2 linked regions of the Drosophila melanogaster genome follow. Changing the gene in region 2 together with the main gene of any one other region gives a genetic interaction. Each region holds a gene or a part of one and is shown on either strand. Other genes may lie near its edges.

Evidence for each region. A genetic interaction does not mean that the proteins touch.
Region 1: of Act88F (region 2) and fln, changing one suppresses a phenotype caused by changing the other (phenotypic suppression), as found in Drosophila melanogaster (one study listed by BioGRID).

The regions. Positions count from the first base shown.
Region 1 is NT_037436.4:19,989,006-19,992,885, forward strand, and holds fln (flightin), read right to left. Parts: upstream 2,216-3,880; 5' UTR 2,144-2,215; intron 2,119-2,143; exon of another isoform or gene 1,847-2,118; intron 1,735-1,846; exon of another isoform or gene 1,630-1,734; 5' UTR 1,626-1,629; coding exon 1,366-1,625; exon of another isoform or gene 1,300-1,365; coding exon 1,144-1,299; exon of another isoform or gene 1,082-1,143; coding exon 949-1,081; 3' UTR 546-948; downstream 1-545. UniProt on the Drosophila melanogaster protein: Possibly involved in the regulation of flight muscles contraction, possibly by modulating actin-myosin interaction.
Region 2 is NT_033777.3:15,437,985-15,442,681, reverse strand, and holds Act88F (actin 88F), read right to left. Parts: upstream 2,714-4,697; 5' UTR 2,636-2,713; intron 2,083-2,635; 5' UTR 2,067-2,082; coding exon 1,142-2,066; intron 1,081-1,141; coding exon 875-1,080; 3' UTR 505-874; downstream 1-504.

The sequences.
Region 1 (3,880 bases), on a different chromosome or scaffold from region 2:
ATTTAAATAAAAAGAAAAATCGTGGCGCCCATATAAGATATATGTATTAGGGTGAGCCAGTAAGTATAACATAAGTACACAAAATATTGAAAAAACAGAATATATTTAAAGTATTTTTCATGATCGTGATCCTTTTCTATTTTGAGTTCTTTTGTGATTTAATAATATAATTTAATTTAGTTTGCGATTAGTTCACTCTAAAATGTACTTGTACTAATTCAAACGCACACAATAGCCTAATTTACCCTATTGTGTGTTATTAGAGGGGTTGCACTTGTGATTTATGCAAATAGACACTTTATGGGGACTTTGGACTACTCTGATTTTCCTTACTCGTTCATGGAGGGCAGTACTCACCAGTCAGTCCACCAAAGTGGGTTTTAACGTTTCGTTCATCTTGTTTTAAATTATAATAAAAAATGGATTTCTCATGCGCTTGACTATGAAGTTAAAGTTTTTAAATGCCCATGGGGATTTCTTTAAGCACTAGTTTTTGAATACCTCATACCTGCCGTCATATTTGAATAGGAAAAACATCAATGTTTATTTAGTTTTATTTATTGCACAGTTTTTATTTTAAGCTTTACAATATAAATAGGTTTGTTTTATTTACTCACTTTGCTAAAAATGAAGTAAATAACCTTAAAAATACCATGTATTGAGAGGTAAGTTGTGTTAATATATATGAATAAGTACATATGGCAATATATTAACAGAAATTACGCATGTAAGAAAAAATATACAATATTCGTTTTCTTGAAAGGTCTCCACTCCATAAGGCAGATTCAGGATACAGAGTTTTGAGATGCGCAGATATGCAAACGCTTACTGACTGACTATACACATATGTACGTATGGATCTTTTGACAATGGGTGGTTACCCTTTATATAACTACGAGTGCTCATCCGTTCGTCCGACGGTTCTATTGGTACATTTAGGTGCGCTTACTAAAGGACACTGGCATACCTTTGGTTGATATATGCCTTGGTGTGGTAATTATAAGTTCTTATCGAGGCCGCCAGTGTTTGAATTAGTTGTTTGTCCCTCTTTGCCGGTGCATACGAATCAATGTCACTGCCACTGAGGTGGATAACAAATATTAACAACTACTATATTTACACAAACCGGATTAGCTACTCCACCTGATATTCCGTGTGCGCAGGACACGTTCCGCCCACGTCTGTGGTCTTGGTATTTCCCGGGCCACTCCAGTTTGTTTTTTGTCGATATAGTCAATTACATCATCGTAATAGTTGGTTCTGTAGTTGTACATGTATTTGTATTGCAGAAACTTCGGCCTGAAAAGTGCAGATTGCATAAGATACAGTACGGTACAGTGCTGTACAGTACAGTGGAGGACCAACCTGACCCAGTGGCGGTAGAGCTGCACCGGTTTCCTGTAACCATCGTCTTCTGGCGGAGGCGGCGGTGCTTTGATTTCTTCTACCTCTTCCGGAGCAGCCTCCTCGTTGGCCGGAGTGCCAGCCACGACGCTATCAGCCTTGTGATCGGATGCCACACTCGGTGCTTTTGAGGGTGGGGCCGGAGTGCCCGCCTGGGTGGATGCCGCCTTCTCCTCCTCGCCGCCGTCGTCGAAACCCCATGGATCTTCTTCGTCTGCCATATTACTGAAACGGAATCCTTTCAATATTATTATATATCTATCATAGACAGATTCACTTTCAATATTCGATCTCTAGGTAACGTAAGCCATCATCATATTATTATATCACAATAAGATACTTTAACAAATTCACTGTCTTCTTATTTTTTATAAACGTTGGCCTTTTAACGTTGCATAACATTGCAACACAACCTAAATTTCAATTTTGTTCTTAAAACAACCTTTTTCGCAGTTGATCGGAAATGTTTGGAATTCAGGACGCCCAAATAGCTGGCGTTCTTAGACCTTTCGAATTCAGGACGATTTAAATGGTTCAATGCATTATAATCTACATATAATGAGTTACATCATTCATCGATTGAATTGTATAGATTCATCTCTTAAACCACTCATATCACTGTTATCTTTCCAAAGGACTTTTTATCATAGACTTATTAATAGACGTTCAAGGGATTCACATTGATTTTCTAGCAGCTAAAACTAGGACATTGGGTCCACTGAAAAATTAGGGACCGTACCTTTACTATAGTGTTTATACTGATATAAAGGAAAAAAGACTAAATGATCGAACTGCTGCTCGAAACAAATGCACTTAGAAAACTTAATCTAAATATATCGAGAAGCAACATCTATATACAAAGGTTGGCATGCGTACTCACATACTAAATTTAATTGGCCGAAACGCTATTAACACCTATGTACTAAATAGTTTCACATTTCAGCATCAAAAGTTCCGGAACAATGAAAAAGTTAGTAAGCAGATTCAAATTTAAGTAGTCAAATAAATCTTTTAAGCTCAATTTGATCGATTTCAACAATTTGCTCATTTATACGGACTTAATTTTAAATAGTTACAACACTTGTTAACTTTTTCCAGAATAAGCCTAAAGATTATGAATCCTAGTTGATAAATGTTCACATAAGAAATCCGCACCGTAATTGTTAAATTTGTTATTTTAAAATTTTTTTGGTTTCATCATGAATCCAATAAGAATTTTAATTATTTAAAAAGGAACCGTTACTCTATCACGGGAACGACGAAAGTGGAACACTTCATAAATTTATTTATATAGGTTATATCTACGATCTAACTAATACTCTAACCGTATTGGTATTCTTGCTTAAATACATGCTTATAATTTTCTTAAAAGCCCCGAAATTAATTTAAAAACAATTTTGTTTAAACGGCGTGAAAACAATCGCCCTAACTTATCGATACATCAAAAGCGAAAACCAGCAGCACACATCGATAAGGCGCTCGTATATATATCGCCTCGATTTAAGCCACCCCTAAATTTGTTGTATTGATTGTGTTTTGGTCGAATAAGTTTATTGCATTTGCGAAAAGTGATTTTGTTTAGCCTAGCGGGTAGCAGAAATGTGCCTAAAATCAATGTGTCATTTTCGTTCAGGTAATAACCGCACCCACCTCCCGCCGAGGCGGCGAAAATCCCGTGTGAATCGAGCTACATACACACTTTAGCCCATTTTGCGTGCATATACACTGCATGTGCGTACATATGTACATACGCACCTGCGTACATATGTACATATGTAAATATCAAAAATAACAATTTAGGGCGAATTTGTGTGGAGAATAAAAATCAAGCAAGCAAATCGTTTTCCTAGGACATTGTACGTTGGGGCCAAGTGGACCATGTGACAAAGCCATGCCCACTCGCACACACGCAAGCACATATGGACACAAACAACAAACTACTTTATTTAAATCGAGCGGTTCGAGCAGTGCGAGCCGGTTATATTAATGCATTTTAATTCGCATTCGAATTCTCGCTCCAAAAAAAAAAAAAAAAACAGTGCCAATTTATGTAAGCGAGAACCCGAGGTCCACTGGGAGTTAAACGTGTGTAGCAAGTTGTGTAGCAAGCCATCGCCAAAGAAACCCCCGCTCGAAACGCATACACTTGGTTTGGTATACGATGTGGAATATTGGTGTCCAAGTGCCAGCCTTTCCCTGCTGACCACCCTCCCCCACCCCCTGCTGGAGCCCACTGGAGCCCCTTACCCGATTTGGTGTGAATATTATGTGCAAAATAAAAAGGCCGTAACACCGAACGAACGCTGGGGAGGAAGGGCAGGAAAAAAAACTGTAGGCGCGGGCCGTGCTTTCCCCACGTGACACGCAGGCGTATGCGTGTGCCAAAAATTCCATTTATTCGGCGTATATTCATCGCGAAAGGCGATTTCAAACTGCATTGACACTCGCACTCGCGTTTCTGGCCCAAAGTATACCA
Region 2 (4,697 bases):
ATTCCGATTATTCCCTGAAACAAGCCTAGGGCATCCATCCATCCATCACTCACCGAAAACGAAGAGCTCGGCTAAACTAGTGCAATGCCGGTCTGTACAATAGTTGTATTAGCTTAGCTCCGCAATTAGTTAGTTAAGAGAGAGAGAGAGAAGTTGGGAGCAAATGTATGTGTAACTAAAACGAATACTCATATTATTTAGGATACCCCCCGATCGCACAAGCCAAACCAAACTATTCATCAAATCGAATTAACACTCTTGATTGATTGTTATCACTGCCAGATTTTCAACGTTCAATCGATTGTATCCCAAATCGCCTAAGTCCCGGTACCAAGTATCCTCGCTGTATTTTCATTTAACTAGCTAGGCTAATGCAAAACCAATGTTAACAATTAATTTAATGTCAATTAAAAGGAATTTAAAGCTGTTACCAACCAAACGTGGTTCGCACCTCCAGGGCTTTTCAGTACACGGGGGGGGGGCGGGTAATAGAAAAATGTATTTATTTAAAATATTTAATAGTTTTAATGGAAGATATATTTGGCTTTCAATTCACTGACTAGGGTTAAAAGCTCCTCATATACATTTGATTGCTACTCGACATGGAGCACAGCCACGACTCTTACGATTAGTTCTTCAAAGTAAAAATCCGCTATACCGCTGCCGATGAAATGGCCATGAAGGATGAGCACCGACAACCGGAGGTTGCCTCTGATTATCTGCTGTGAATCTGAGTTGGATGATAATTGTTGTGCGATGGGTTCGCTGCTTTTGTCTATCACTGTCCGAGCCGAGGTTGTTGGGTAGCTCGATGGGTGCTTGTTGGTCGCTGCTGGTTGCTGCCTTTGAAGAGCTTTCGCGGCGGGCGAAAGACTTAAAAGCATTTGCGGTGAACGATTCCGGGGCCGGACTCGTCGTACTCCTGCTTCGAGATCCACATCTGCTGGAAGGTGGACAGCGAGGCCAGGATGGAGCCACCGATCCAGACGGAGTACTTCCTCTCGGGTGGCGCAATGATCTTGATCTTGATGGTCGATGGGGCCAGGGCAGTGATCTCCTTCTGCATACGATCGGCAATACCTGAAAGTGCACCAAAGGATTAAGCACAAGTGCAACTGCTGAAGCGAATGATTTGTCTTACCAGGGTACATGGTGGTACCGCCGGACAGCACAGAGTTGGCATACAGATCCTTGCGGATGTCCACGTCGCACTTCATGATCGAGTTGTAGACGGTCTCGTGGATGCCGCACGACTCCATGCCCAGGAACGAGGGCTGGAACAGAGCCTCGGGGCAGCGGAAGCGCTCGTTGCCAATGGTGATCACCTGGCCGTCAGGCAACTCGTACGACTTCTCCAGCGAGGTGGAGGCGGCAGCGGTGGCCATCTCCTGCTCGAAGTCCAGAGCCACGTAGCACAGCTTCTCCTTGATGTCGCGCACGATCTCACGCTCGGCGGTGGTGGTGAAGCTGTAGCCGCGCTCCGTCAGGATCTTCATCAGGTAATCGGTCAGATCGCGACCAGCCAGATCCAGACGCAGAATGGCGTGGGGCAGGGCGAAGCCCTCATAGATGGGCACGGTGTGGGAGACACCATCGCCGGAGTCCAGCACAATACCGGTGGTACGACCGGAGGCGTACAGGGAGAGCACGGCCTGGATGGCCACGTACATGGCCGGCGAGTTGAAGGTCTCGAACATGATCTGGGTCATCTTCTCGCGATTGGCCTTGGGGTTCAGTGGAGCCTCGGTCAATAATACTGGATGCTCCTCGGGGGCCACGCGCAGCTCGTTGTAGAAGGTGTGATGCCAGATCTTCTCCATGTCGTCCCAGTTCGTGATGATGCCGTGCTCGATGGGGTACTTCAGCGTCAGGATACCGCGCTTGCTTTGCGCCTCGTCGCCCACGTACGAGTCCTTCTGACCCATACCCACCATCACACCCTGGTGTCGGGGACGACCCACAATTGAGGGGAAGACAGCACGGGGAGCGTCATCACCGGCGAAGCCGGCTTTGCACATGCCCGATCCGTTGTCGATAACTAATGCACCCGCATCATCGTCACACATCTTGGCAGTTGTTTATCTGGAAGGGAGATGGAAGTGCACTCGGTTAGCTCGATCTGTCGATTATATATGTAAAGTTTTATAGCTCCCACCTACATCTCAATTCTTTAAATTCTACTACTTTAATGACAACATAGAAAACTAATTTGTGTCTCAAGAAAATATTTAACTTTTTAAGATATTGAAGAAGTGAAGTGAAACTCTATTGTCCATTTGAGCACATTTCAGTAAATAAAACCATGAAAAATTGCCAAAATTGGTATATTCCATTTCCTTTTGACTCATGCTAATATGGTTATTCACTTGAAACTAAATCAGTGCTCTATAAATATCGGAAAAGAATAGTTCATAGAACTTAATTTAAACGTATCAAATTAATTGAAAATACGTTTCGTTGCAATTACTCTTCACTTTATATTTAGATATTGAACTTTCGAAGACCGATTAGTGACTTGTAGAAAAATCCATCAAACAATCCGAACTTATTAAAAAGAGTTTTAATATCCTTAGTCCTCTTGGCTTTTTCTGTAATAATCCTTGGATCCTTCGACATTGAGGTCGCACTCACACACCTTTTAGGTCAACGAAAGGAGAAAAATTGGATAGAGTCGCACGTTCGATTCCTGTTGACAACTAGATTCAACAACAAATGGCACGCCGATCGGTCTGTCCTGCCTTTATATCTCGGCTCTCCCTCGAAGCGATTTGAGTTGGATGCCAGTGCGGCACTGAGAAAAAGATTGAGCGAAAGTGCTGCGGAACAATCGATCCATATAAGCAGTTTTCAGACTTCTGGCCGAGCATGTCAGAAGTTTGGATGCCTCATTGCACGAAGACGACTCATTAATGCGCTTCACAAAAAAAGGAAGCCACACAATTAAATACTTAATAAAGCATAGAATCATTTATTAAGATTACCAATAAATTCAATAAACGAGGGAATTTCCAAACTACGAAAATATGACATTTTATATTTTTTTCACATTGTTAGTAGGTACAAATCCTAGAAAAGGGTCTCATAACATATAACAGCTTAAATAACTATGTAGTAGAAGATAAACTTTATCTTCAATTCAGTTCATATTTAATCCTAGAAATATTTAATTAATTGACAATATATGATAGAAGTAAGCTATCAATCTTAGGACCCTATTCATTATTTGTAGGGAGTGCCAGGAGAGAGAAAGCTCTCGAAAGATAAGAGAACGCCATAGCCGAGTGATTAGCAGAGGTGCGTGATAGTCGGAGCATGGGCCATCTAAACGGCAATCAGCACTCTCGAGTGGCCAATTAGCCCCATCTCCGTCCCCATCTCTGTCCCAATCCTGCTGCCAATGGGCGACTGCTGCGGCGGACGACTCATTCGGTGCTGAGAGTTCGGAAAATAGAAACGGACCTTAGAAGGACCGACGCAAGACAATTGGCATCCGCGGCAGGGACTGGGAGAATGGGACATTTCAACGGGCACGCAGCGAGGCGAATCTAAAATAGACGCGCCAAGCAGAGCGGCACCTATAAATCAACATCAAGGTTGATCGAGATCTCCGCGCGCGGTGCTCGAGGAAGCTGCATCCACATTTGCAATCGCATTCTACAGAATGCTGCTGCACTTTGCATTGCGGCGCCGATGCAATCCCGAAGATGCGAAATCACCGTGCCGACCATTTATCAGTGCAATTAACCAACCATTGCCAGCCAGACCGAGCGAAAATGTATTTTCTCAATCGAACTGTATTTATCCTTTTATGTAGATTTAATTATTTTTTACTTCTTTCTATTTACGTTTTTATTGCTTGCCCACATGAATAATCGAATGCGGTTGGTCTAAAGATAGGATCTGATTGCTCGGAAGTGAATTGGTGGCATTCCCAAAGCGTTTTATTTGGTAATTGCCTTGATTGACATCGTGTATTGAGCAAGAGGTTAGTGGCTGCGAACAGAATTGTTCACCATTCTTATCTTTATTTTTTAATTTATGAAAAGTCATTCAACCACTGAATTGATTGGGCTCACCATTTATTTAAAAATTCATATCTTAACTAAATTTGCCTATTGTGCATTCTAGATATTTCTGAATTATACTTTTATTTCGGCAAATTGATATAATTGTGAAAAATATTTTAGAAATTTAAGTGTTTTTTTAAAAATTACACTTCTACTGCACACTTTTGTTCTCTTTCTATCGAAAGATAAATTAGTAATTAATTAATTTAATTACTATAACATTATGTAAACATCGTTAAATATTTGTATACCTATTTGTACGGTTTCAGGAATAATTTCTATTGGATTTGTATTGATGTACGTAAGAATTTCCCACGATTTATTTATTTGAATATTTCGTAGTCGAGACAAGAACCATAAACTAAAAGCATGCAAGTCTTAGCATACTTTTCGGCTGAAGTAAAAGCCAATCATAGATGGCGCTGTAATGCACAGCGAATGGTCTTTCACTTAACAGCATTTAAACGAGTTTATGATTTTCTATCTGAAAAGAAGAGAATATGACACATCGAATGGCTCCGAAGATAAATAATATATTGAAATAGCTCCAGCACGGGCCCCTGAAAAAAAAAGCTCGACGGAACCCGTTTCCGCTAGCGCACCTATTGTCGGTGAAAGAGCGCCAAGCGA